3 linked regions of the Alligator mississippiensis genome follow. The protein of the gene in region 3 purifies or fractionates together with the protein of the main gene of each other region. This does not show direct contact. Links are inferred from orthologs where the notes say so. Each region holds a gene or a part of one and is shown on either strand. Other genes may lie near its edges. The genes, in order: SEH1L, NUP43 and NUP160.

Region 1 (9,659 bases), on a different chromosome or scaffold from region 3:
TGATACCTTCTATTAGACCAACTGAGAAATTACAAAAAAAACACAAAGAAAGAAAGAAAAAAATTGCAGCATCCTGGCTCATGAAGAAATGCACATGTGAAGGGATTTACTGACAAAACGCAAGGAATTTCTGACATAATTACTGATATTTAAATGTACTAATAATCTTTACCTTCCAGCTGGCAGTACAGTGCCAATCCCCATTTTCACTTTTGTCCCAGACCTATTAAAACAAAATACAATCATAAACCTTGCTGTAAAGCTTTTTTCAGCCTGCAAGAAATGGAAGGCGAACAAAGCTGCCACGGTAGTACTGGAAAACATAGATAACTAAAAAAAAAAAAAAAAAAAAATAGCCATACCATGCAGTTCCATTTTCCCCTTAAAACCCTGCCCTATCCCAGTATGCTATTATACCCCTCTTTTGAAAGTAGTTCCTTGCAGAGATCAATTCTGCAGAATCAGTTGCAGGAAGTGTGTTTCTTAAAAAAAAAAATAAAAATAAAATAAAAAAAAAAATGCAAGAACTTATTTATAAAAGGTCATGTTCTGCATGACTGCACCAAAATTAGTAAATTTCACCCCCCACCCCCCCTATGGATCTCATGTCCTATTTAAACTCAAGCCGGAAGTTTATAATAATGAAGATGTGGAATGATGACTGTCTCTGTGGCTGCTGAGATATTAAAGAAGTCACAACTGAGGTATGAGGATTTTTATGCCCCAAATCATGCAACTTGCCATGCTACATGTTCATGAGCAATTTTAGAGATCAGGCATAAAATGCCCCAGACCACAATCACAAGACTCCCAGCTGTCAGGGCTGCCCTGTGCCAATACCAACAATCAGCTGATCATCAGGATTTAGCAGGGAGCAATCCCTGGTTAGGACACAGCTGCCCTGTGGCCAATCTCTGATACTGGACTAGGGCAACCACCCTAAGTCCCAAGCTGACACTCAGGCTGCCCTTTACACAATCTAAGGGAAGGGCTCCCTGAGACCCAGCAGGTTTGCTGCCTTCCACTGCCATCTCCAAGGGACCTATAGAGCAAGGCAGCAAACCTGCAAACTGTAGGGAATCCCAGAGCTCCTCACCCAGTGCCAGACCCAGGCCTGCCCCAATCAGATTACTGTCAGCATCTGGATGGGGCAGCCTCATGTCTGTGACATGCCACACACCGTTTATAATACCAAACAAACCAGCCACAAAAAGATCAGCAAAGATCTGGAGCAAATGTGGAACATCTTTGTGGCTGGTTTACCATTTGATGGCACCATAAATTGGCTTAACATATGTCACATCACATATTAACCTGTTAGGCATTACATTAATGGCACAATTGCCAGGGCCAAATGTGTATATGACCAGATAAAGGTTACAACTTTAAGACAATGGTGGGGGGGATTGGGACTTTAGGTGACAAGTCTAAACAAGTAAAATTTCAATATTCCTAATGCGGTGACTACAAATGCAACTCAGCACTTACATGGAAACATTTTTCAAGTGACTGACATTTAAAAATATTGTATTTACTTGTATTCAAGATGACCCCCCAACAGTCAGATTCTCTACATGGAAAAACTATAAATTTGTTATAAATTCCCATGTAGAGAAACTAATTATTGGAGGATTGCCTTTAATTCATGCCCTCCACTGCTGCAGGGGGGCAGGCAATGAGGCAGGTTGCATGGAGAGGTTAAGTAGCTTGCCACCTGCATGTGCCTGCCACATTGCCACTTCTACCCCCTGTAGGCCTCCCACCCCACCCCCAGCCCTAGCCCTGCCTTTCCCCCATCCTGTCCCAATCTTCTGCTCCCCTCTCCCCTCCCCAGACTGCTCCCCGCTTTCCCTGTTCCCTTATCCTTACTCTGTGTTGAAAGGCTCTAGACCCTTTCCAGCCTGAGGCCCTAAACTCGGACCTAGCCCAGGTCCATAGCAGCAGTGCCCCAAACTGCAGCATGGCTAAAACCTGTTGGCATGAAGCATAGGTAAGGGGGTGGAAAGGGGAAGAAAGGGGCAGGTAGAGGAGCAGAGTTGCACGGGGTAGGGACATGGGAGGAAGGAACTTCAGGGGGAGATGGCACAGTGCAGAGCTGGCAGTGAGGGCAGAGAGCAGCTGCAACTACATATCCCACTGCCTTCATATTGATTTTAAGTGAAGGGGCTTTCTCCCCAATGTTAAATGAGGGGAGAAACCTTTTCTTAGAATCAAATAAATACAGTATATGAAATGTTGTAAAAATAAATGACAGTCCAGAACATGTGTGAGGCAAGCGTTTTTATGGGTGATATCTTTTATTGGACCTACTGCATGGTTGAGATAGATTTAGACAAGTAACAGTGTTATATCAGTACTACAAAAGATGCAAATCTTGCCAAAGACTTGCTTCAAACATTTCCAAAAATGTGTAAGTTAGTAAGTAAGAGAAAACTTAATATATTCTAAACAGACTGTGAAATTTACTACCTCTTCCTTTGTGGACATCTGCAGTCAGAACACAAGATCAACAGTTTAGGAGTCTTTTTTCTACGCCCAATGTCTCTCATTTGGGTATAGGACCTTGATCAAATCACTTCCACTCTCTTTTCCTCAGTAATCTCACATACCAAAAAAGATGGGGGCAATCTAGCTGGATCTTTGTGACAGTCTACACAAGATGCTACTGCGCAGTTATTACTGCTCGTTTATTTAATGCATGTACTAACAAGTACTAGATAAATGCACAGTAACCTCAGTTTCTGCAGAGCAGCACTGGCAAATACAGTACCTTTTTTGTGATACTACTGCACAGTAGCATCACGTAACAGTTTTTGCCACATGACACTACTGCCCAGAAGTACTAGGCTACTGCGTAGTCAGCATCTCATGTAGACGCGCTCTGTGGCACCTTCACATAAGTGGCTGAAGAAGTCACCAATCACAGCAAAGGAGTAAGTGCACTAGGCATATGCAATCTATTCTTGCTCACTAGGCAAACTTAAGGGAAATAATTTTGCCTGCAAGCCTACATTCACATGGTACTCTGATACAGCATTAGCTATGATGTTGGCTACTTGACAGTGCAATCTCTCAGGTTACAATACCCTGTAGAGTAAACTAGACCAAAAATGGAATACCACCACACATGCGAGACTGCATGAGACTTACTGAACATAAAGTTTCTATGATAAAAAGCAGCATTATACCATTCATGAACAGCAAACCCTGAACATATTATTAAACCTTACTCCTTCACCTTCACAGACAGTCACACCTTCCTTAAGTATGTTATCTTTTACATTATATCAGCTTAATTTGAAGTGATACAGTTCTACTCATCACCTACATTTTACAAGTGATATGCAGATGCAGCTGTGACTGCAGATGCTCATAAAGGAAGAGGTAGTACATTTCGCAGTCTGCTTAAAATATATTAATTTCTCCCTTATTACCTTGTTAACAAAAGAGAGGCCCAGGCCAACCTTCTAGGGGAACTTCCCTGCTAACAATGCCTGTCTTTTTTTAAAATAAGTAAATAAATAAAACCAGCATATGAAAGGCAGATATGGCTCCACTTAGTGAAAGGAAACTTGAAAACCAAGCTGTTGGCATGTCGTGCAATGGGGTTGCAGCAGGCCTACACCCACAAAGACACCTATGAGCCTCCCTTCATGGGGAAGGCAACGGAAGACAAAACCTGGGGGCAATAATGAAGCGGGAAAGGGGTCGGGGGGGGGGTCAAAAGTTACCCATGAGGGCTCCAAGGGGGAGCAGGGAGCGGAGCCAGCACCCACTGACCCCCCCAAGCCCCGCCGGGAGAAGGGGCTGGCAGACTGCCCCAGGCCCCGGGGCGTCCCCGTAGCCACAGTCTCCCTCCGGGCCCGGCACTTGCAAGTGAGGAGACTCCAACCCCAAAGACCTAAGCAGCGGCCGCAGCCCCGCACACGCGCAGGACCTAACGTAAATGGCTCCTGCAGCACCCCAAGGGAAGGGCTACGGCTCGGCCCCGCGCTGGAAGCCCCAGGCCCGCCCGCCGCCGCCGGAACCACGTGGCTGCCGCAGGCCGGCCGGGCCAGGGCCCGCCTGCGCCCGCGCCGCCAACGGGCCGGGCGAGACCACAGCAGACGCCGGGGGGGGGGGGGGAGCGGGCAGGGGGTTCCCCCCCCCCACAGCACAGCACGACTCGACTCGACTCGCCCAACGGCCGCCAACAAGGCCGGGCGAGACCACAGCAGGCGCGAGGGGTGGGTTCACCCCCGCCATTACGGTTGGACTCGCCCCCTTCCCCGCGCACCTTGACGCTCTGGTCGCTGGAGCAGGTCGCCATGCGCCGCCCGTGGAAGTCGAAAGAGACGTCGTGGATGAGGTCGCGGTGATCCGCCGCGATGCTCCGCGCCACAAACATCCTCGGCGCCTAGTCCCCCGCTCGCCGACCTTCGGCACCGCTCGCCCTGCCCTACCCTGCCCGCCCGCGGCCGTTAAGGGGCGCTGTGCGCCCGCCAAGCCGCCGCTCCCCCGCCCGCACAGCGCCCCCAGCGGCGGGAGGTCGGCGCCGCTCGGGCTGCGGGCTCCTGGCAGCACAACTTGTGTCTGCTTCCGTGTCGCATGACAGCCGGGGGCGCCGTGATCCTTTTCCCTGAAGAAAAATGTGTCGGATTAGAGGAGACGACGCACCTCGCCCTCCGCACCCGCCCTTCGCAGAACGCTAGCCCCGCCCCCCGTCGTGCCCACTAACCGCTCCTGGTCAAGCCTCTCGGGTCGCCCCGCGCTGCATCCTGCTCCCAACTCTAGCTGCAAACTTTGGCCGAGGTGGACGTGAACCCAGGGGCAGCCACGACTGACCGTGAAGGGCTGGGTGCGCTGTCAGGACACTCCAGAAGGCCAGACTTGGTTGTAGGAGAGATGTAGGCTGAGCTCTAGTGGCTGCAGGGCTAATACAACAATATCTTGGGGCTCTTTTAGCAAGTTTGTTGTGTTTTTTTAAGTTTATAACCTAGTAAATGAGTATACGTTCCAATAAAGTTATATTTTTGCTTCGATCTTATACAGCACTGGGCCTCTGACATATTAGTAGATCTTCTAGCTGCCTTTTCACTTAAGGAACAATGTGTTTGTGTTATACGGGATGTTGTACCCTGCTGCTTCAAAATCCTGCACCCTCCACCTGCACCCCCCTTTTCAAAATCCTAGATCCACCCATGCATTCAAGAGGTCCTTTTATAATTCCCCTGTGGTCCCCCTCTTTTACTTCATGCTAGTGTGACTCCTGCACGTTCCCTTATGGGGAGGATCCCACCTCCCACAGCACCTGTCCTAGAAAATGTGATCCCTCACTAGAAACAGAAAAAGAGAAAAGGACTTGAAGCAATTTGCTTTACTTTAATTACAAACACTGAAACAGCTATGAAGTCCTGTGCCCCATTCCTGCATGCACTGCATGCACCACTGAGAGGGGAGGCGGCGATTGGCTGCGCTGGCCCATGTTTGAGTTACTGCCAGCAAAGTTTGTGGTAGTGGCAAACATGCCCCCTAGCAGGAAAGCTTCCCCATGCCTCCCTGCCTGAGGGCAAAGTGGGGTAGATGGTGGCAGCACACCCTCCCCCCCGCCATCACCCATCCCTGACACCCCCCAGAACAGTCGGCAGGGAGGAAGGGAGGGGAGCGAAGCTGAGGGAGGTGAAGATGGGGGTTACGGTGGTGGCTCCTGGGGCCAGGTGGCAGAGAGGGAGGAAGGGAGGGATGGGAACGGGAAGGGGGCCTCAACAACAGCCAGCAGGGTGGGGAGGGAGGGAGGTTGTGTGGGCCTGGACAGGCGGGGGGGAGGTGAAGGGGGGGTCATGGTGGTGGCTGTTGTTAGGGCCAGGCAGCAGGGAAGGAAGGAAAAGGAAGGAAGGAAGGGAAGCAGCAGGGGGTCACGGTGGTGGGCAGGGAAGGAGAGGTGGCGGGGAGGAAAGGAGGGGAAGGGAACTGGGCAGAAGGAGGGAGCCCCTGCAGCAGAGGCTGGAGGAAGAGGCAGTGACAGCAGAAGGAGTCTTTACATGGCTGGCCCTGAAGGGTGAGGAGGCGGGGCATGTAAACACTCTAAAATCCCTCATTCTTGACGGGCAATTAGCTAGTGTTATAATAAAAGTTTAAAACACCTGTACCTTGAAGAAGGCTCATTAGGCAGGAAAAATGGTAAAACTGTTGCTAGCTATGGAGAATGAAAGATGGCTAAGGCTTATGGAACAGAGATGAGTAGTTCAGATTTTGGTATATTACACTGACAGCCAAATATTCAAGAAGCGATGCCTCAGAAGCACTTTGATGTATGAGTTCGAATAGAGAGAAAGACGCTAACCAGCAGAGGAAGATTTGCAAATCGTCCTTCTAGAAATTAGAGGAATTAAGTCGTGCCCTCTTATTCCAGAAGGGAATTTGGTCAAGCCTGGAGAATCACTTGTAGCAAATTCGTAGGGAGTTTTGAAAAATAGGATGGATAATTTTGAATGGAAACCTAGAATGAATGAGTAGATAGGAGTGATGTTTTAATGCTTTTGATGTTGAAGCTGTACTGTAAGAATCAGCCTTCAAAAAAGATGCCAGCCTGGATTGCAGAGCTATAATCACATAGCTTTGAAAATACTTCACATTTTTCAATCTTATGCAAAAAAAAATTAAGTTAATTTTTCATAATTTGCTATATAGTAAGTAAGCTGTAAAAAATGCACAGTGTAAATAATGATAAAACAAGTAAAGTTGGTCATGCTTGGTGTTTGCAATCCTGTAATTTAAAACGAAATCAAATGTTGTTGAATATTATAATAAAATTACACATTTCTGAAATACAAAGAGGTTTTACTGTAAAATAAAGTAGAATAACAAAGCTGTGCATTTGTGCACTCATCTGGGACCATCCAATACTTGCTAACCAGAAAAAAGCAATGTCTAGGGACGTTTAGGCAGTAGGACTTCTTGTAGCCTAAGGAACTGCTTCTTCAAAAGAGCTAGCTGGTTACACATTTTCTGTAATATAAAACAGCTTTAATGTTTTCTAAGTTCTTAAATTCACAGTACTGTTCCTAAATGGGTATTTTTGTTTGCTGTTTTTTGTGAAGCACGCCTCTCTCTTACCGTACATGGTTGATTATATTTATACAGAACAATGCCTCATTTTTTCCAGAAGAATTGTTTCCAGTCATTGAGTGATTCATCTGTCAAAAAAGCCATTATTCTGCAGTTTGCATGATCTACTAATGTAGTCAAAGCTTAAAGCAAAAGAACAACTAGTGAATAAGTAATTTTTTTCAGTCAAAGTATCATTTTTTTAATATATTGTTTAGGTCCATCAAAATGATTTTCAAATTAATGTATGTTTTGTCAAATTGTTTTGGCTGACAAATAACAACATTTATTTAATGACATCTTGTTTTAAAATTTACCAATAATCAATTATTCAAAAGTAAACAGTAATTCAAAATATTTACTTTTGGATTGAACAAAAAAGGTTCCACCCTCCCTCCTAGGTTCCTATAAGAGATGAGAGCCCCCTCATAAGAGATGAGAGGCTCCCATAAGCTCCCCCATAAGAGATGACAGTTCCCAGCCTGCCCTGCACCTTTCTAAGCAGCTCAGGCGGTGGCGGCTGCTCCTTCCAGCTTACGGCTGCCACCACTGCAGACCGCATCAAGAGTCAGAGTGTAAATCAAACCCTGGGCAGCAGCATGGTGCAGGCCACCCTGGGCAGGAGCAGGTGGAGCTCAGCCCCATGCAGAGTGCCACAGGGGCAGCTGTAGACCTCACTGCCTGAGGGAGCTCCCAGGGGTAGGGGTTAAAGGCTGAGGGGGCCACTGACACAGTCAGGGACCTTTAGCCCAGAGAAGGACAGAGTCAGGGCTAGGGGCCCAGCTCCTGGGAGAGGTGGAGACAGGGTCAGGGACCCAAGACTGCACCTGGGAGTAGCTAAGAGAGCTGAAGTCAGCTCCACTGACTTGTCCCTAGAGAGGAGTGGATCTGGTCAGGGAATCTCTCTAACATCTTCCACAGTGAAGACAGATGCAAAGAATGTGTTTAGTTTCTCATCAATGGCTCTGTCATCCTTTAGCACCCCTTTTACATTTTGATCATCCAAAGACCCAAATGACTCCCTGGCATATCTTTGGCTTCTAATGTACTTAAAGGCATTTTTATTGTTTCTTTTGATGTCTCTTATGAATCATATGTAGGTGTTTGCACACCAAACATACTAATATTCTGTGGTACCTTAAAAGGATTGTATGGCACCTTGGTTGAGAATCACTGGTTCACTTGTTTAGGCACATTCTTCAGAGTGAAGATATCCAAGGTCTGCAGTTACCTATTCCATAGGCTTCAGTTCTAGCTCCAAAAAAAAGAAAGATATATTTATGACAACTAATGCTAATTATACTTTATGTAATGGTGCTGAAAAGGTATTTTATACACAGCTACAACAATAATTAACTATCTACTGTACTGGGTCAAGAGTGGCCCATTACTGATAACTGTTCAATAGTTCTCTCCCATTTATAGAGTTGTTCTATGTGCCCTAATGAAAGTCATGTAACTTTTTATCTGTGCTCCACTTTTCCCAATCTATAATACCGAAATCATAATACTTACTTATCACAGAGGAACTAAGTTAATTAGGGTCTGTAAAGAACTTTGACATTCTTAGATGGAAGGCATTACAAAAATGCAAGCAGAGTTATATAGCAATTAGACTCAGATATGATAGAGTAAACCAGGTCATTATGTAGGCAGATTAGCTTTGGGAACCTGAGGCTCATGATGAAACGGAATCATAAAGTTATAGAGAAGTAGGGCTGGAAGGGACCTCCAGAGGTCATCTCATCCAACCTTCTGCCTGAGGCAGGATCATCCCTATCCAAACCATCCTATATAAATCCGTAACCTAAACTCTACATAAGACTACCATCAACCCTGATACAACATAGACCTAACATCCTAACCTGCCACAGGTAAAGCAAGAGAACCATGGCACCCAATGTCCTGCTTCTATTAAATGTTGTCAAAATATGCTCAAAAGGTCCCAGGTAAATGGCCACACCCCCAGCTAAAGAGGAAGGCAAAAAACCCTCACCATCTGTACCAATCTGATCATGGGGTAAAATTCCTTACTGATCCCCAGTTAAAGTCCCCAGCCTTGGCTGTGGCCATCATCTAACACCTCTGAGGAAGGCTTAAAAACACCCTGACATATGTAGCAGATGGTGGAAGTGGGCAACCAGCAAAGACCAGAAGCAGGGGAAATACCTTGGGGTATGCAGTCTTGGAGCACGGGGAGAGGGGGAAGATGGAGGGGGTGGCAGGGGAGAAAGGGGGAGGGGGAGGGAGAGGGCCGAGCCAGCCCCACCCCACCTCCATTCCATTCCCTGCATTTTGCATAACCCCACCTCCCTTCCATAGCCCCAATCCTTCATTTGCATCATCTTGCTTCCAATGCCACCTTCCCACTCCTTTCCCCAGCTATCATTTAATCATGTACATAACCCCACCCATGTTCCACCAACCAGCACTCTCATTGGGAATCACTCAGCCTCCCTCCCTCTTCATTCCATTATTTGCATAATCCCGCCCCCGTAGAGCTATCTTTGCCCTTCCCTGTCTTCATCTTCCCCACCCCACCCTGCCCCCCTCTGCCTTCCCTCCTGTACTCC
Region 2 (9,892 bases), on a different chromosome or scaffold from region 3:
TCAGCTCTAAAGAGATTTATTCTGCCATCTTCTCCAACAGTAACAATTTCTGGGTTCTTGCAAATGATCCCTGTACATGATGCACCACCACAGGTAGATGTATCTGAATCTACATGGCAATGAACCCTCTCCCATTTTTGGGATACTGATAAAGTCTAAAATAGCAAATAGAAAATAAATTATAAGTATTCTATTCAGCACTCTTATCACAGCATGAGAAACTAAATTTTCTGAACTATTTAGGAGTCGTATCAGAGACTAGTTCTGATAAAACAAGAGCAAACTATACTATTCTGAGGATCTTTCAAGTAGCAAGAGAGAGGTAATTTATTTCTTTCTACTCCTCAATGCATAACTGCACACTATGTCCCAAGAAGGATGGTGACTGATGAACCTGAATACTCCCATTTCAATTTAATTACTTCAGGATCTTAGCAGGTAAAAAGAAACCCTGGCAAAGAAAAGTCAATTTCTCACGTACAGTAAAATCTCTGTTATCCAGCATCCCCAAGGTAAGGGGATTGCTGGTTATGTAAAAATTCTGATTATTTGAAAACCCCCAGTAGCAGGGCAAGAAAGCATAACAGCAGCACAGGTGCTGGGTGGCAGCAGTTACTGCTGCGTACAAGCTTTCCCCTGTCTCCGCCTCTGTGTCTGGTTGGCCAACTGGAAATTCCAGTTAATGAAATTTCCAGTTAGTTAAATGCCGCGTAGCAGAAATTTTACTGTACTTCATTTAAGTGCAAAGCCTCAAGACTGAAAGTGGACTATGCACTTAGCAAAATTCAATACAAACTTAATGAGAAATGTGAACTAAGTTTTTTACACTTCATTAAGGCTCATTATCTAGTTTTCCAAAATACTGTAGATAGGGATCTACTTAATTTGCGGTTTGGCAGGTTGTGTGGAAACCGCAAAGATCTGGGATTGTCCAAAATCAACAACAACAAAAATAATTTAAATGCTTGCTCCCCAGTGGGAGCCAGCAGTCCTCACTGCCGTGGAAGGGAAGGTGCCAGCTGGCAGGGCAACACAAAGGGCAGCAGGAGAGACAGCTGCTGCCCCCTCATCCCTCCTCCCCACACTGGGGACACTCTACCAATCAATCAACACTGAGGGCCAGGGCTGCTACAAAATGACCACAGAATTAGAACTTTGTCATGATCAACCACTGAAAATTAGTAAATACCAATGCAATTTAGGTAGACCCCTAACCATAGGTCTTCAACAGCTGTCTTGAAACCAAATGAAATTGGTGAACTGATTAGAGGAGTCCTCAATTACATAGTTAAATGAGTGCAGTTACATTACTAAGTACATTGGGGAGTTCCTATGAATTTGTGCACTTTAACCAATATTCAGATAGCCAATGTTTTATCATATAAACAGGGAAAAAAAAAAAAATGTGGACTGAGGTGTAGTATTCAATGCCTAATGTATTTCCTCCCCTTCCTCAGGTAACCAAGTACACCATTTATTTTTATGAGCTGGGAATCTTCTTTGACCCGTGATGGTCATTTACCTGGATCCAGTCTCTTCACAGGATTTAACCTGCAATTGGATTTTGATTTAAAAAACTAACTTAATATCAGTAATGAAAAGCAACTGCCAAAATAACAACCCTTTCTGTGTTCATTTTATTATGCAGTAGCAAGAACTAAATTAAAATGGCAACACACACACGGAGGATGGTATTCTTTCATAAAAAATAAGCATCATTAGAAAGAATCAGAAATAGTCACCATTAACTGAATCAAGTCATGTATTTATAGTCCATTCACTGAAGCTGTAAGCATATTTGGTGACATGAGTACAGAAAAAGAATCTGTGGCACATGCTTCCCCCCAGGTGAATAGTCTATCAGATAATTAACGAAATGCTCCATATATGCACAAAAAAAACCAGACAGACATGGTACCATTCTCCTCATTTTAAAAATGGTGGTTTGTAATTCTTCACAATTTTAGTACTCAGAATTTCAGATACTTCATGATTTATTTTTTTTCCCCTGAGGAATCTTTCCTCGCAAGCACTAAAGCAACTTGCATTACAAGCTTAAATGGCAAAAAGCAAAGTTTAACTTATAGCCAGAACAAGTTATTTACCTGGTTATTTTGATGGTGACGGAATATAGTTACGCTTCCAGTTGATGAAGCAGCTACAATTCTCTCTTGATCCAAAAACTAAGAAGAAATACTTAAGCTTACTACTATGAACATGTAACAACACAGAAATAGGTTTGGCATTACAGTAGTCTAGATTTCAGAGCATACACATAAATTAATGTTTGAAAAATGTATTTCCTCCCCTTCCTCAGAAAAATTATTTGACTTTCAATATTTTGGCATCCACTTGTTCTTTTTATAATCATTTTAATAACACTGAATATTTTACCTGCATATCCATAACATCACCATAGTGTCTGATATCACATAACAACTGTGGTTCTCCTTGATATTCCCCATTGGGACACACACTTTCAGCATCTCCAACAGACCAAATGGAAATCTTGTTTTCCTGTAGGAGAAAAAGCATCACTAGATTAGTGATGCTAGTTTATTGGAAAAAGGTTTGGACAAATTTGTCAATACATCAAAGCTTTCAACCTCTTTCAAGAGTCAAGTTTAAGAAAAGGAAAAATAAAGGACCAATATTAAGAAAAACTACCATCAGACATCACGAGCTAACACTCCAGGATGAGCTCTAATAGTCAATGACAAAGCTGAGGAACACCAGGAGCAAAGGGACTAAAGAGGGCTAAAAGACCTGCTGTGATCCAAATGCTTTTAACAGCTGACAATGACTGACAGTTCAGAACCAGTAGGACTTTGCTTCCTATGCATGCAAGACAGCAAAAAAAAACAAACCAAAACAAAAAGTCAGTTGGGTAAACCAGATCTCCTCTGCCAGAAACACATTCTGTAGGGAAAGCTGGTATAGAGACAAGAAGGATGATAAAGGGATCGCCAACTGAATGAAAGGCTGAAACTAGAAAATTGCTAATAGAGGCAGAGGCTGCAGCTAACAACTGTGGGATCACTCTAATGGGCTTTTTAAGTAACCAATCACAGAGCTGTAGAAAATGAGGGAAGGGACCTCAGGGGTCATCTAGTGCAACCCCCTGCTCAAAGCAGGACCACTCCCAACAAATTCATCCCAGCCCAGGCTTTGTCTAGCCATGTCTTAAAAACCTCTAATGATGAAGAGTCCACCACCTGTGGGTAACCTGTTCCAGTGCTTTACTATCCTCCTAGTGAGAAAATTCTTCCCAATATCTAAACACAATTTCCCTTGGTGCAACTTGAGACTGTTGATCATAGCTCTAATCTGCCACCACTGAGAATAGTCCAACTCCACTCTCTTTGGAACCACCCTTCAGGTAGTTGAAGGCTGCTATCAAATCCCCTCTTAGTCTTCTCTTTTTCAAACTAAATAAACTCAGTTCCCTCAACCTCTCCACAGAAGTCATGTCCGCCAGCCCCATAACCATTTTTGTTGCCCTCGTCTGAACTCTCTCCAATTTGTCCACACCATTTCTGTAGTAGGGCGCCCAAAACTAAACAGAATACTCCAGATGTGGCCTCACCAGTGCTGAATACAGGGGAAGAAATATTTCCCTCCATCTGCTAACAACACTCCTACTAATGCAGCCCAGTATGCTGTTAGCCTTCTTCCCAACAATGGCACACTGCTAGCTCATATCCAGCTTATTGTAACCCCTGGGTCCTTTTCTGCAGACATGCTGCCCAACTAGCCAGCCCCCAGCCTGCAGAGGTGCATGGATGTTTCTTAACAACAAACCTACTTAGTAAATTAACTAAGAGGCTGAACCTTTTCTACCCAGAAGAAAAAGCCATAACCATGAAGGTGCACGGACACCTTACAGGGCCGTACCCTCCCCACAATAGGAGGATTCGTTCACATACACCCCCCTCCCCAACAGGAGGGCACACAAACACACGGGAGCGAGCCGGGAGAAGCGCGGGGGCGACCAGGCACACCCACACGGCTGTAACAAGGCGAGGAGCTGCAGTGTCCCGAGGAAGACAGGAGCTCGGGGCTGCCCCCAGAGCAGGGCCAGGGTCACAGCCGTGTCCCCTCATTCCCAGGCGCCAGCCCGACCCCACCCCAGGACCGGCGGCCCGCGCCCCGCCCCCACACCTCGTTGTCCCAGGAGCCGGTGGCGAAGAGCTCTGGCGGCTGCAGCGCAGTAGCAGGCACGGGCCGCCATCGGACCTTGCTCAGCTTCTGCGACACGAATTTGGCGCACAAATCCTCCATGCCTGCACGCGCCCGCCACCCCACACCGCCCCGCCTCTTCCGCCGCTAAGCGCGCCCTCCCATTGGCCGGGAGCCGTCTCGGCAGACCGGAAGCGAGTAGGGACAAAATGTTGCCTCTGGAAAAGGCGAGAGGCTGCGGGAGGGGGCGGGGTCTTTGGCTGTTGCGTAGCCCCAGAGAAAGGCAAGGAGGGAGAGGGGAGGCGTGCGGAGGTTAGTCCGCACTGCCGGCAGCTGGAGCATTGGCGATAGGCGCGGAGAGGTGACAGTGAAATGCGGCGGAAAGAGGACGTGGGCGGATCGAGGCTCGGGGAAAGTGGGTGCAGATGACGCCGTGTGTGTTTTGCTCCCGTTACCCGTAAACGAGAAGCTGTCGCGGGCCGGGAGTTGTTACTCCGTTGAAGACTGAAGCCAAAGCAGATGTCACTTCACTGGTATGAGCTCCAAACAGCCTGCAAGGCTGTGAAATGGGAGCTTCGTCCCCAGGAGCCGCTACCTTACAGCGCCTTGCCCAGCACGGGGTCGCTGAACGTGGGGGCTGCTGAGCAGAGGGGCCTTAACACCCTGGAGGGAGGGAAGGGTTTACAGGGTGTCAGGTGCATTGCAATGAGCCATGAAGTCAACAGACCCCCCAGCACTGCCTGACTAAACATGCAGCTGCCACTGCCGTGCACTTGGTTTTAATCTCTGGGTAGAGTGGGAATCAGAATTGTGCCAGGGCACCCCCCAGCCCTGGATCCACCTCTGAAAGCACATATATATATATACCTTGGAGAGCAGGCAGGGCCCAATCTGAGATGATGGATAGTTATATACTCCTTTATTCCTTTATATTTTACAGAGCAACTTAAAGGCTTCTTTCCCACTTTTTCCCTCCTTCTCTGGTACTCATTTCTGTCTTGGAACAAGCATTTGAAGTCCACACTAATTTCCTGATGAGTTCCTTATTTTAGATTAAGTGCAACTGACTGACCTCATCTAAGATGGAGACCACAGACTCCAGTGTGGGCTCATTGGTGGTTATGATGTAAAAAACAATAAAAAAGCCAACTTGGAAAATTCTCCTAGAGTCATGGACTGGAAGAGACCTCAAGAGATATCCAGTCCAATCATTTGTCCTTATGCAGGATTTGCTATTCCCAGACCATCCAGCTTAGAGGTTTATGCAGCAATTTTGGCATCTTAGGCAGAAATGGTGCCCAGCACCTCGGGGAGGGGCGGGGGAGGATGCTGGGCTCCAGAGCGTGGGGCAATGTCGAGCACCCAGCAGCTGCAGAGTGCTGTGTGATGCTCCTGGCACCCTGCATTGGCACGTGGGGCTGTTGTCCTACCCCACCCTAGTTATGCCACTGATCCAGCCTCCTGAAAACCTCCACTGCATGAGATACCATAGCTTCCCTGAGCAGCTTTTTCCACCGGCCTACTGTTCTTACACTTAAAGTGTTTTTTTCCTTGGTTTTAGTTTAGAACTCCTTTGCTGCAATTGAAGTCCACTGCTGTGTGTCCTATACTTTGCAGCATGGAAGAACAGTTGCTCCCTCTTTTTTATGGCAGCCTTTTAGAATATTTGTAAACTATTATCAGGTTCCCCTCTGCTCCCCCTCTTGATCTTCTTCTTTCCAAACTAAACATACCTAGTTCTCTCAACCTTTTTTCAGCTTGCATGCCAACTGCTTTATCATCTTTGTCACTTGCTTCTGGATACTCTCATGTTTCTCCACATCCTTAAAACTGTGGAGCCATGCATACAATACAGTAGTTGAGACCTAACCAGCACTGCATAGAGTGGTAAGATCTCTTTTGCATGTCTTTTATACTCCTGGTAATAATATATACATGTACTAGATTCCTAGTAATGCAGCACAAAATTACATATGCTTTTTTGAAGATTGCATCTCATTGCCAAGTCATGGCAAGTCTCTGATCCACCAAAATCCCCAGATATGTCTCGGCAATGGCACTACCCAGCCAATGTCCCATTATGCATTTGTTTTTTTCTTCCATAGGTGTAGCACTTTGTTCATCCTTGTTGAATTTTATTCTGTTGCCTACTGCCCAGTTCTCCAAGCAATCAAAATCTAATTCTAATCCTGTCCTCCAAAGTGTTTGCATCTCTTCTCAGTTTTCTGTCATCTGCAAACTTGATCAGGAAACTCTTTTTCTTACTTTCAAATAATTGATAACAATATTAAACTACAGCAGATCCCTGTGGAACCCCACTTGAAACCTCCTGCCATTCTCACATTAATCCATTTATACTCTCAAGTTGCAGTCATTCAGCCAATTATACCCACCTAAATGTGGGCTAGATGGTCTACTTATGAAAATTTCATATACAACCATACCTAAAAGCCCTTCTAAAGTCTAAATATATTATGTCCATTACATTCCCTCCATCTGTCAAATTACCTTCCCTGCTGAGAAGGAAATCAGACTGATTTTGCTGTATTTGTTCTTAACAAATCTATGTTGGCTATTAATAACCACCCCTTCTTCCTTTAGGTACTTATAAAATAGACTGTTTTATAATTTAGTTTGGCAACTTTTCTGGGAGGGAGTATGTTGACCTGTATCTAGCCTTCTGGGACTTCACCTGTCAGTTATGATTTAGCAAATCTTTTTGTCAGAACTAGATTTTTGCAACTTGTTCCTTCAGCAAACTGGGATAAATTCTGTCAGGTCCAGATGACTTTAATTCAGGTTTGTCAAGAGATTTCAGATGTGCTCTTAACTTATGGTTATAGTCCTTCCCCTTCTTTGTCTATATTTTGTTAACTGTTTGGTCACAGTTTGTTTTTATTGTGAAAACTGAGGAAAAGCACTGAGCAACTCTGCCTTCTTTGCACCTTTCATTAATAGATTACATGCACAGTGGACCACAGTTCTTGGTCTTTTTTGTCTGTCTGAAATGACTAATTAGAGCATCCCTTCAGATTGCTGGGAATGATCTGTCTGAGGGAAAAATGATGATGGATCTAAACTGATATTCTCCTTATCCTTTAAACAAATATTACCAGGAAATAAAACCCATCCAGAATTAACAGCTGACTTGCTTTACCCAGGAACATGCACAAGAATGGTTACTCTGTTGGCACACAGGTGATTTGTGACTGTAGAACGTTTAAAACAACTAGTAAAAATATTGTACTTTGTTTGCTTCACTGAAGTGTACATCAATAAAACAGTCTTAGCTTTCCTTCCTTTTCAGTTCCAAAATGTATTAAAATAATAGTAAATCTATTGACTAAATGTATTATTTGTTTATGGCATTCAAATAACTGCAGAGGATTTAGTTGTGCCCCTGCCACTCTGGTGCTGATATCCCCAGCTTGGAAAATAGAATTCTATTGTTTTTTTCCCTTCACACTTCCTTTTTTAATACAACTCTGAAGTCATGAAAGCTGGCAGAATATGCCTGAAATGGCACAAATAACACTCTGCAAATTCACCTCTATTTTTATCCCCATCTCTCCAAGACCCTGATTTTGCAAAGACTTATCATTGTGCTCAGACTGCAATACAGTTAAGCATATGTGTAAGCCTTCGCAAGATCCCTCTTTAAATGCACTATAGCCAGTGACCTTTATAATAACTAAGCTTCTCTTCTGTACTCTTGTTCTGAAGTTATTACCTGTAATAATCTTCCTTATCTCTTTCCTCAGCCATCACACAGAAGGCTAACGTGGACAGTACAAAAATTCTGCATTATACCCTCACAAATCAGGTTATACAAAACCATTGAGACTAAGAGAGATGTAACGATTTGAGGAACTCTCTCTCACACATCTCAAGCGAATTCACTCTCCTTTTGACAAAATTTGCAGAAAGGAGCAGTTTTAAAATTAAGGAAAATCATGCTTCATTATTCAGAGGTCTCATTAAACAAGAGATGTCTTCACATAATCAGTGGACTGGACCAATAGGCTTTGAAGTAGGTCTCCTGTGATCCTAGTGCAGAGTTTAGAGCCAGCTGGCCAGTTCCCTTGATTACAGAAAATAAGCCAGTTTCCCCAAGGCTGGCCAGCTTAAAAGGAAGCAGCAGCAGATGTTAGCCTATACACTGACATCTAGGAACACATGTACAAATCAAACCTTAGAGGAGTTATCTGACTGTCAGAGGACAGAGATTTAATTCAAGTAATTGAGATTTTATTATTGATGTTTGGGGAAAATTAAAACAATTATATTTAACCTGCATGCTATAGAGGCATTATCTACCCCACTTCACCCATCTCCCTCTCACTTGGGTGCCCAAATGGCTGTACAAGCATGCATTCTGAGATCTGCTGTAGAGTGACTTAATAGAGAGACATCTCTAGATCTTTTCCCTTTAGGGACTGATGAGGTCCTTTGCTGCCCCCATGCACTGTGCTAGAGGAGAGGGGCATAGGAGCTGTGCACAACATCTTTCTAAAAAATACTCTGTTCAAACTATTTTTGATACACCTATTAAAGTTGTAATCGTCATGGACCTGCAGTACTGCCAGGTAGACTTTACAAGCACTAATACTTATGTTCTGGATAATTTATCATTTGTGTTGAATCAGCTTGCTTTTGTCCTCCAGCAAATTTGCATTACACATTACTTTTTCAATTCCTGATCTAAATTACTATACAGTGTTGCATGCTCCACTTAGAAGTGGCAGCAAGTCAGTGGGGTCATTTTATATGTTTATGCATCTGTCAAACTTTATTTTTCAGACCAAGGTTTTCACATATTTTCACTGCAAAGTACAACGTACGCGGGCCGGGAGCGATCCGCGGCCCGTCTTGCGCACGCGGGCTGTGGCCAGCAGCCCGGGCACGCGGGGTCGGAGAAAACCGGGGGCGAGCTAGAATGTGTCACGGACGCGTAGTAGTTGATTCAAGATTGTTTACTTACACCAAAGATGGTCGTGGTGTAGGCTAGACAGTTTTCCAGGCTCAGCTCCGCTTAAATCCTCGTTTGAGGACTACGACAAGTTCACTCTCTCCCACGGAGTTGTTGAAGCTCCTTGGGTCCATCTCTTTTTGCGCGCAGGGAGGGATACATCTAGGAATCTATCGGCGATGGGGAGAGGCCAGAGGCTGATCAGGCCCCTGTTGCCTTTTAAGAAAAGCGTTGGGTCCGTAAGGATCCGCAGCGCTTAGAGATCATCACGCGAGGCGAAGGTTTGTTTCTCTCTCTCTCTCTCTCTCTCTCTCTCTCTCTCTCTCTCTCTCTCTCTCTCTCTCTCTCTCTCTCTCTCTCTCTCTCTCTCGAACTCCGACTTGAGCAGAAACCACCCAAGCTCTTTATACGGCTAGCAAGCCAATCGCTAGCCGCCACGTATGCATAATTTAATGTGAACCAATAATATTGGTTATTCGAATTTCAATACAAATGGCGGGAACTCTTTGCACCGAGCATTTCTTAGATGCAAAAAGAAATGCACCATGGAAAGAAAGCTACAAGTTGGCGGGAATTCTCCGTTGCACCGGGGTTCTCTTCTGCAGCAGAAAACTCCACCGTGCAAAGAAGCTGCAATTTAGCGGGAAAATAATTTAGCAGTGCCAAAGCACACACAAAACACAAAATCACAACTTTGGGTTGTGACACAGCGCTAAACCATACTCACTGAAAGGGTGGTAATGC
Region 3 (10,355 bases):
CAGAGGCAAGGATTTCTTAGGGTAGTATTTTTTATTGGACCACCTATGTGGTTGTGATAGACAAACTGACATGTTCCCTCAGGAAATTCTATGAAGAACAAGGCATTCTTCATAGGATAGTTTTAAGTCATGAAGTTTCCAAGGGAAATTAAGTCTTGACACTGAACATTTTTTGAAAAACTAATCAATGCTGGTAGGGTTGATACACTAACAACTGGTAGAGTTGATACACTACCAGTCCAGTTCAGCTGTCTGAGAATTAATCTTCCATCAATCATCTAATCTTTGTATCTCATATTTATAACTCAAACCCTGGCCTAGAGCATCATCCAGATGAAGCGTTACCAGTCATTAATCATATTAGAACTTGAACATGTTTATGTACCTTATAAGACCACATCCTCAGCTTATGATCCTGGCAAAGAGCGAAGAGAAAGGCATCATGTTCAAGGCAGTGAACAGACAGGCTGATGGGAAGGTCCGAAGGGCCACAGCCACCTCTAAAAAAAAAAACAAAAAACCAACAAAAAACACACTGATTAAAATAACTTAGTAAGCCATCTCTGAAATAGCTATACTAGTTTAAATTCACCCCTTTGGTTACACAACAAAAACTTCCCTGCATGGACAAGGCTTTAGAGCAGTGATTGATAACCTTTTAAGACTGACTGGCCAAATGAGCACAGACTGCTCTGAAGGTGGGTTGCCACTCCTCTTACCAACACCATGCTTCCAACTTGGCTGCCACTTCCAACTCAGTCACTTCTATTGACTTAGCACTACACTCTTGACCCAGCCATGGAATCATCGTCACTGCCCCCCACCAAAGAAATGCTGTCACCAACTCAGCTTCATGGGCAGGATAGCATTACTTAGCAGGTTGGATCCAGCCTCAGAGCCATATATTGTCAACCCTGCCTCAGTGCAATTTCCAAGCAAACAAACCAACATTAACAGTCCTGGCTGACTACACACCGACAGATAGGTCAAACATTCCTATAAGTACCAGAGGTACAGCGATACATCAGTTCAATATCAGATCAGCACCAATATAAAGAAAAATTGGCTGCATCGGAAATTGGCCCAACACAGCCAATAATCTGGCCAATAATTTTTGCCCTGGGTCCCATTCACCACCCTGGCTGGGCAGCAACCCCAGTCCCATTCCCTCCCTCACTGTGGGTGCCTCATTCTGCACCCCCATGCCCCTTCCCCTCCACAGACTTACCTGCAGAGTGCTGCACAGCACGCAGGCAGCAAGGAGCACAGCCCAGCAGCTTGAAGAGCTGCGTGCAGCTGGTAAGTCTGTTGTGGTGGAAGGGGAGGGGGAAGGGAAGGGAACCACGGCTCATCTGGGGGGCGCATACCCCCCGGATCCATGTGGGGCGGGCAGGCTGCAGCTGCCAGCTGGAGCCAAGGCTGCGACAGGCTCCTCTCAGCAGGGGCTGGGCTCAGGACAGGCAGCCACAGTGCTGAGAGGGGCCTATGGGGGGCAGAAGCCACCCCAAATTTCACCACAACTCCCTCAACCACCCCTCCGAGTGCTGCCACCACCCACCCAGTGTAGCCCCGGCTCAACCCCCTCCACCCACATGCTGGAAAGAGCTGGGGCTGCAACAGGTAGGCAGCAGCGGCACTGACAGGGAGGGCTATGACAAAATTGGGGGGGGGGGGGGGGGGGAGGGGGGTGTTGCTGTAGCCCCTCCCGTAGCCTCCTCCCAGCACAGGCCAGAACAACCTGCACGGGGGAGAGGTAGCTGAACCTGTGCCACTGCCATTTCTCCCAGTCTCCCGCTGCTCTGTTGTGGCACAGGTGCAGCTTCCAGCTGGTGGGGAGCAGCCACCAGTTCTCCCCACCTGCCGTCACCTCCCAGATGCAGTGCAGCTAAACCACTTACATATTAATCAAAACCACAAACATATAGATCCAGAGGTAGTGCTGTAAAATTAACTATATATATTCACTCCTAGGTGCAGTCATGTACTGTGATCTGTGTAACCAAAAACAAGCACTATATAATTGCATTATCACCTTCCCTGCACTTGTCTATCTCTGAAGCCATCTTAAGACTCCCTGCAAAAAGTGGAAGCCCCACTTATTTGGCACCAGACAACACTAACCTGATAGCAGTTGGCATCCAGCCTGTCAGCAAACGCTGCATCACTGAGCTCTGCTTCAGCTCCACAACAGAAACCATTCCTAGAAAAACAGAAGTGTTAAGCTCTGCGTATAGGGGATGTGTGCTGTTGATGCAATAGTTCACTGTCACTAATACAAGATGCAACTTGCCTCATTTAGCATTCATTTTTGTTACAGTTACTAAAAAGAGAGTCAATGGCAGCTGAAATCGAAAACCAAAATAGGAAGTGTCATGGAAGATGAAGAGATCAGCCTGGCCCTTTTCAGAGGGGAAGGGGAAAAGCTCAGGCTGGCCCTTTTCAGAGAAAAAGGGGAAAAGATCTTCCTCAGGACTCTCTGCTATCAGGCCTAGACTGCTATCTGCTCCCAAGGTGAGAAGGGGCATCCAAATGTCCTACTTGGAACTATTTACAAGTATTATTTACATTAAAGCCTGCCCACACTGAGCCCCCTCAAAGTGCTCCCCCATTGGAACTGCAGGCTAGAACTTAGCCACCTTGCTTCTTATATCATAGACAGGCACTGTCATGACTGGGATATGCTGGCTACATTGTGTTATAAAGAGCAACTGACGATGGCCCTTACATTTGGCTACAGGCTGCTTTCCATGGATTAGAGACTTTTCTTCCATGACACATTCTACACAAATACAAAGTGGCAGGACAGGACATGCTCTGCTCTAAGTTCTTACCATGCACATCATGAGGTGGCAATCTAAGGATAAAAATTCCTCCTGAAGCAGAGGGCAGAGCAAAGAGAGCCTCCCCATCACTGCTAAGCCAAGCAGCTGAGGCTGTGGAATTAGATGCCAGTCCAGGGATGTTGGGGATCATGTGGTAGCTTGACAGGTCTCTAAAGTTAACCTTCCCAATATCTGTAAATACAGACTGCATCTGGCTCTCTGTGATCAGCTCCTGTTAAATAAAATAAAAACAAAGACTCCAGACTGCAAAAGCACAAAGAGCGGTTAGAAAAATGTAAAACTGGATTTGTCCGTGGAATGACAAATACCTTTAAAAAACTACTAGCTCCTGCTTTGTGAAATTAGTTCTTTCCAATGAAAATCAGCTAAATTCAAACCTGTGTCTCTCTACCTTATTTAACCAGCAAAGCTAGGCTATTTAAGGGTGAGTTTCAAAGGGTAGGTAGAACTGAGAGCTGCCAAAACACAGGAACTTAGATCCTACTCTCTCTCTCCCTCCCTCCCTCCCGTACCTGCTAACATCCCAGTGGCAGTGTCCACACCTGCACCAGTGTTTCGCTCAATACCTGCTTCAAGTCTAAACAGCTCATTCTTAGCAAGTGCCATGAGTTAAATTTCTATGAAACAGCCTGGAGCTAAGGTGGTGGTCTGCTGGCCTGATCCTGCAAATGTAGAGACGGAACAAGTGACCCAAAGGGAGTGGAGATCGCAACACCTCAGGAAGGATACTGAGAAAAAACATTAACCTAATGACTTTTCCCACAGGAAATTTGCACCAAGCCACACCTTCCTGCCCATGCAAACAAGAGCGCTTCCTACTTTGTAAGCCAAGCGATACATCTAGCTGTGACCACCCCACAGGAGACAGTTTCCTGTCATGCCTGTCTAGGTCCCTTGCCCCTACTCTGGGCAGCTGAACTTGGGCAGCCCAATTCTCATCACCGGGGCTGGTGAAGGAAAAAGCTGAGAGGCAACTTACACTCCTGTACATGCGGGCAGGGTGGGGCAACACCAGCCTGTGCACGGTCTGGTTGGTGACGATCAGGAGGACGAGGTGGTTCTGCACCTCGCAGAGGTGGACCCCTCCAGGCAGCAGGAGGCAGTTCTGGATCCGGAGCCGCACGGCATTGTTCAGCAGGTTCACATCCAGGGACTCCTCCACCAGCTCCACCGTGTCCCCAGCCGTGCTCCTGCAGGGGCAGCGCAGCCTGTTCACACCCGGCGACCAGGTCCCCCCAGCCCCCGCGCGGCCTCTGCCCAGGGCAGCGGACCCCCGCCCCGCCCCGCCCTCACCAGTGGATGAAGCGGTTCCTGGTGGCCGAAACCAGCTGCGCGCTCTCCCGGTAGCAGAAGCCGCCGGCGCTGTCCCCGAGCCGCGCCGCGCCCGGGCTGGTGCTGGCACCTGTGGGGAGCCGGAGGGGGCCGGGATTAGCGGGGAGCCGGAGCGGGGCCGGGCGCGGGGGCGCGGGGCCCGCGGGCGGTACCTGGCGGGCTGAACACGACCTCCCGCGCCCGGCGCTGCGGGCCCCGCGCGGCAGCGCTCAGCTCCATGAAGCTCCGCTCCGGCAGCGCCGCCATCTTCCCTTCGCGCGCTTCGCCGCCGCGCGGCACCACGGGTCCGGCCCGGCCGCGGGGGCTCACGGGACGGGGGCGGATCCCGCTGCCGCGTCATCAGCGGGAGGCCCCGCCGCGCCCGGGCAGTATGGCGTCCTAGGGGCAGGACGAGGCGAGTTCCTCGTTTCCCGTCTCCGCTGGTTGTGGCGCGGGGCCAGGACGGGTGTCTGCTCCACCCCCGCCGACTTGTCTGAAGGTTTTAAGGGGGGGTTTGCGCTCTTCTCAGAGGCCCCGGGGGCATGTTGACTGAGGTGGGCCCTGCTACGGGGTCTTGTTCGTCTGTTCCTGGTCCGATTGGTGTGGCCTGGGCGGGGGTTGCTTTCCTCTAGTTGTTTTTAAATTATTATTAATGTATTTATTTTTATTAGATTTGCATCCGAGGCCAAATTAGCCCAAACCAATTCCAAATCGAGGAGTCCAGCACCTTAAGTGGCCCTGCTACCGGCAGGGGTGTAGGTTGTAGCCATGTTGGTGTAAGGACGCGGGCAGACAAGGTTCTTGGGGTGAATCTGTCTTTTATTAGACCAACTTAAATAGTTGGGAGTTTTATTTTAGCAAGCTTTTGGGTTTAAAAACCCTTTGTCAGGCTGAGGAAGTTTCAGCAGTGGGCATGTGCTCTTCCTGCCTGGAATGAACAGTAAAGAAGCCAGGCTGGGCTGGTCTTCGTGCAAGACAGGCAGTCAGTGAATACATCTACTGGCAAACATCCTCCACCCCATCTGCCTGGGCTTCACATGTTTCCAAAACCTTTGGCGGGCATCCTACTTGCAGGCTTGGGGTTTGGATGCCCCTGAGTTTTGCTCGCCCTCAGCCATAAAGCCCTCAGAGCAAGCTTCCTCTGTTGTGAAACTCTTAAGCAAATATTAACAACCTTTTGCAAGAGCAGGATGTTGACTGCTGTGCCCCCGCCCCTCCCCCCAGCATTACCTGTGCAGGTTAGGGTGTTCAATCCGCTCTGTGTCACTGTTGACCGAGTGGTTTTACTAAGAGGTTACGTTATGGATTTGTACAGGATGGTTTAGATAGGAATGATCCTGCCTGAGGCAAGGGGTTGGGCTACATCAGCGTTTCTCAACCTGTGGGTGTGTCATCATGACCCAGAAGTGGGTCACAAGAATATATGAAACAGTCATGAGCAAACTTTAAAAATGGATTCTCCATTTTCCTGTGGGCGACCATGGCTTTTCCCATGCAGGCTGGCACAGTTCCAGCCTTTGAGGGCCTGCTTGCGGCCCCTTTCGCGGTAGTCAGGCCCGGGGGGCTGTCAGTCAACACCAGGCCGCTTAGAAATCAAGCTTTGGGTCAGGTAGGGCCCTGCACAGCCTTCTTCTGGAGAGTACCCTAATGGTGGAGTTGTGTTTTTTGGAGTGACCCAAGATGGATTTTACCCTGTAATGCCAAACAAACTTGGCCCCTTATTCAGCACAATGTTCTTGATATGTGATATTATATTACAGTCCTTTAGCCAATATACATAGTTAATGAAATACAGAGCTCTGCCATGATTTTTTTATTGCTAACAAATTTATAATCACGGGAAGAGAAACTCTGACATTGGAATGGGGAATGACAAACTGGAAACTAGAAATAATGTACCAACTTCACCCTCATAAAAGCCCTTGGGCAGGTTCTTGGCTGCATAAACCAGCATGGCTACAGGGTCTTTGGCTTTGTAGCTGCAGATAGCTAAACATTGTAACTTTTCTTGGATCAAATCTGCAGTATGGGGCCACTGTCAATCATCAAGTTATATTTTTCAACACAGAAGCATTTGAGAAAGATTACAGTCCAGACACCATGCTGTAGCTAAATGGGTACATCATTTCTTTCTTTGCCTGGGGTCGTGAAGCATGCACTTATCATGGAAAGTGCTTCACTACTTGGTGGTGGCAAATAATGGAAAATGCTGAAAGGAAGAGGGGTTTTTTTTCCTTGCTACCTGACAATCAAAATTAAATCCCAGCTTCCACTGCAACAGATCGCATGTCATAGGCCCAGAATACAAATAAAGCAGGGACAAAATGTGCTTCCAACTCTAGCTGCATCAGAAGGATTTTTAATGTTCCTGTTACTATTTAAGGGCAGGGCAGTTGGGGGTTATAGCAGACAAGCATGACATGAATTTTCCAATGAGTTACTGAACTTAGGAAAGTCACAGAGCAGTGACTGAAAGCTGCAGTAGTAGTTTGCTAAGTAAATTCCTCCAGCAACATGACAATGTCCGGAAAAAACCCTACCAGTGCATGATTTTAAAGCAGAGGCATAAGCCATGATTCAAGAAAGCATAAAGCATGTATTTAACTGTAGCCCGGAGTAGAAGCTGCTTTCCTTATAATCTAGTACAGCGGTTCTGAACCGGGGGTATGTGAGATAACATCGCCTAGAATTAAAATGTTGGTTGATAGTAAGCAGCAGCAGCAGGGTTCGCACTAATAAGTTTTGGTATGTTTTGGCATTTGATGCTAAGTGTGTGTGGGGGGGGGGGGTTTGCACCACTTTTTCTGTGCATGGAATAAAGTTTGTTTAAAATGAAAAAGTCGTTGTATGAGGATCTTGCCATTTTTATAATACACGATTACACATAGTTTGACATAAAAATTAATTTCCCATTGAAAGGGGGTATGTGAAGTCTCACTCTGAGACCAAGGGGTACGTTGACTGAAAAAGGTTCAGAACTGCTGATCTAGTATATTAATTCCCCTGGGTAGCCCAAATCCAGCACAGAGCTCTCCCAATGCTCTGATGTGGTGCTAGTGCAGGGGTAGGCAAAATACTGCCTGCAGCCTGCCAACCGATTGGATCCAGCCCACAGGCTGGCACCCGCCAATTGATCATATCTGGCTGGTGGCTGTCCCTGTGGTGCTTTGCCTGGGGCTGAGCCCCCGCTCCTGCCCAAGGCAGCCCTTTCCATGCTCCTGCCCCTGGCAGCGTGCACAGCTTTTCAGCAGGTCTGCAGCTGCCCAGGGATGGCTTGGCTCCTCCTGCCCCTGCCGTACCACAGCAGGCAGTGCACAGCTGGGGCCAGGCAGGGAGAAGCTGCAGCTGGGTGGATCCCGCCTCAGTGAGCAGGCCTCGGGCTTTAGCCCCCAGCTCTGCCTGCGCAGTAAAGTGAACAGCGAGTTACACAGGCCAGGGGTGCCAGAGACACCTTGGCCTGGCCCTGCGCTGCCACCGCCCTGCGCTGCCACCACCCTGCACTCCTGTCCCCGCCTGTCCCACTCCCCAACGCTGCTCCCCACCACCTGCAGCCCCATCCCACTGGCCCAAGCCCATCTCCATGGAGCCCCCAGGATCTTTATTTTTTTAAATATATTTCTAGGGAGAGAGAGAGTTATATATATATATATATATATATACCTCTATCATAAACTTTCCATCACACATCTTAAAACTGCATTAAGAAACCCACAATTTCCATTACAATAAACGTGTCTGTGGACCCACCCTCCACTCTCACCTACCCCAATTGCAGTCCTCTAGGTCGAATGGTCACAAACTACTACAAGACCGTTTCAGGCTGGACATAAGGAAGAATTTCTTTACTGTCTGAGCCCCCAAGGTCTGGAACAGCCTGCCACCGGAGGTGGTTCAAGCGCCCACATTGAACACCTTCAGGAGCAAACTGGATGCTTATCTTGCTAGGATCCTATGACTCCAGCTGACTTCCTGCCCTTTGGGCAGGGGGTTGGACTCGATCTTCTGAGGTCCCTTCCAGCCCTAATGTCTATGAAATCTATGAAAGCCAGAATGTAATTAAACAGAAGGGGAAAAGAGAGAGAGGAGCCAATAGTATGGTGAAGGAAAATGATGCATAGGAGAGAGGAACCCTAAGGCATGGGAAGAATAAGGATTGGGTCCTCAAGTTCAGGTCCCCTCAAGCTGATAGGGCTGGGAGTCAAGGATCAAAAAGTTGAGGCCAACACCTTTTGAGGCTACTTGCCTTATGGTCAACCACTTCCTGTGACCAGTTGGCAATGCTAGATCACAGCCCCATCACATCAGGGCCTCCACACAAACTAAGTACCATGGCTCACCATTGGCACTGATGCTTCTCAGACCAACATACTGGAGTTCATGGGTACCCGATCTCTTCCATGCCCCATCTTGCTGTCTTTCATGATCTCTCTTCACAAGTCCTGTTCCCCGCTGCCCATCCCCTTTGGTTCCCTTTCATTCTGCCCAGGCCCCACACGTGCCCTGCCACCCAACTGTAAGACAGGTGGTCTGGTAAAGCAGGCAGAACCAGCATCCAAGTCAGGAGGTTCCAAAGAATATGTCAGGAATTGAACTAGGGCTCTGAAACTAAGGAAGCCAAGGCAAGAACCAAGATCCAGAAACTGTGGTCAAGGAATCCAGGATACTGGGATCAGCTGTTCAGAAGCAGAAATTAGGCTAGGGCAGGAGCAAAGGAGATTGAGGCAGGATGTGGGAACTATGGTTGGAGGTGTGCAGGGTCAGGGGGACACGTCAGGGCTGAGATATGTTGTACATTGCTTGAGTTGTCTGTAAACCTGAGGTGTCAGGTAAGCCAGCTAAGGGACAAGCTAGTTCACTGGGATACCTTGCACTGTCTGAAGTTGGAGGAATTGCTGTAGGTCCAGTGCCTGCATGTCCATGCTCTTGTATATTGACCTCTCCTTTGAGGAGTCATGATTCTGGATCTAGACCTCACCCTCCCCAACTAGGTGCAGTCCATAAACCCAGAGGAATATGTGCTTCATGGCAACTCAGTGGCCCATGCTAAACCAATCCCCAGCACTTTACCAGATTCCACTGCATGCTGGTGTCCCACCCTTCATTGCAAGGCAACAGTAATGGAAGTCAAGGGAGGAAAGTCAAGGGAGGATATAATCTGGAAGGGAGAGGTGAAACATGTGCAAGATGCAGAGGCAGCTAATACCTGGGTAGAGGCTGGCTACTTGGGATCTCCAGTGCCCTTTCTCAACAGAACCAGACACACCTTTATAGAGGAAAAAACTGAAGCACAGGCCTCACCCAGCAAGTGTAAGGAAAAAAAATCCAGGAGTCCGGCTGTCCAATTTCACATCCCCCTAACAATGTGCCAGAGGAACTAAAAAGAGACAGACAGCCCCATCCAGCTGGTGCTATAGGCTTTTCATCTACAGCTGTTTTGGCAGGGATGCAGCAGTGGGACAGAGTGGGTACCACAAGAGTGGTACTAGAAGATGAGTGGAGGTAGAGCTGACTGTGACTGCACCAACCCATGACACACAGGGCTACTATTGCCACCCTGGGGGGACTACGTGGGAGCAGCATAGCATCCTATGCTCTGGGCCAAACAGCAGGAGATGGAAGCAGTGTTTTATGGAATAGGCCAGGACAGCTAAAGAGCAGATTCAAGGACACCATAGTCTGTGCTGGCCAACTGGACACTCCCATAGGTATGAAATATTCCCTCACTCCGAAACTGGGGAATCTACCTTGAAGCCCTTATCCCCATAACATCCTCATTATGCCCCCCCCCCTCCCTCCGGCTATTTTCTGCAGCCTGAGATAAGTCCTGCAGCTGTTGTGCTGAGCACACCTGCAAAGGGTGTTCTGTGCCGGTGAGGTCCGTACCAAGGGAGAGTCAACACCCCACAGCACTTCCTAATTTTGGTAGGGGCCTGTGCAGCACCCAGCATAAAGGAACCCCAGGACTGGTGCAGAGCTGTGACTGCCTCCCCACCCCACCCCACCCCAGCTGGGTGCAGGGGATTGGCATAAAGTGACAGTGAGTGCATCTCCATTTTCATTAATGCCCTTTTGGTAATGCACATTTAGTACCTCCATTGTGAGGTACTAAAAGAAGGCGTATTAGCCTATTTTAATGCAATAATTACATTTAATTTATTTTAATTTAATAATTAGCAAAAGCACACTTTTTTTGGATGCTAT

The links.
Region 1: the proteins of NUP160 (region 3) and SEH1L fractionate together in Homo sapiens (co-fractionation; 3 studies listed by BioGRID and IntAct, with this or other methods). This does not show direct contact. The link is inferred for Alligator mississippiensis from reciprocal best matches to the Homo sapiens genes NUP160 and SEH1L.
Region 2: the proteins of NUP160 (region 3) and NUP43 purify together in Homo sapiens (affinity purification with mass spectrometry; 5 studies listed by BioGRID and IntAct, counting the BioPlex papers as one, with this or other methods). This does not show direct contact. The link is inferred for Alligator mississippiensis from reciprocal best matches to the Homo sapiens genes NUP160 and NUP43.

What each region holds. Positions count from the first base shown.
Region 1 is NC_081826.1:97,972,907-97,982,565, reverse strand, and holds the start of SEH1L (nucleoporin SEH1), read right to left. Parts: upstream 4,458-9,659; 5' UTR 4,388-4,457; coding exon 4,277-4,387; intron 224-4,276; coding exon 173-223; intron 1-172. UniProt on the Homo sapiens protein: Component of the Nup107-160 subcomplex of the nuclear pore complex (NPC). The Nup107-160 subcomplex is required for the assembly of a functional NPC.
Region 2 is NC_081824.1:129,003,615-129,013,506, forward strand, and holds the start of NUP43 (nucleoporin Nup43), read right to left. Parts: upstream 4,323-9,892; 5' UTR 4,282-4,322; coding exon 4,162-4,281; intron 2,518-4,161; coding exon 2,395-2,517; intron 2,184-2,394; coding exon 2,106-2,183; intron 156-2,105; coding exon 1-155. UniProt on the Homo sapiens protein: Component of the Nup107-160 subcomplex of the nuclear pore complex (NPC). The Nup107-160 subcomplex is required for the assembly of a functional NPC.
Region 3 is NC_081825.1:171,292,738-171,303,092, forward strand, and holds the start of NUP160 (nuclear pore complex protein Nup160), read right to left. Parts: upstream 4,458-10,355; 5' UTR 4,422-4,457; coding exon 4,328-4,421; intron 4,246-4,327; coding exon 4,137-4,245; intron 4,034-4,136; coding exon 3,823-4,033; intron 3,055-3,822; coding exon 2,832-3,054; intron 2,201-2,831; coding exon 2,122-2,200; intron 501-2,121; coding exon 386-500; intron 1-385. UniProt on the Homo sapiens protein: Functions as a component of the nuclear pore complex (NPC). Involved in poly(A)+ RNA transport.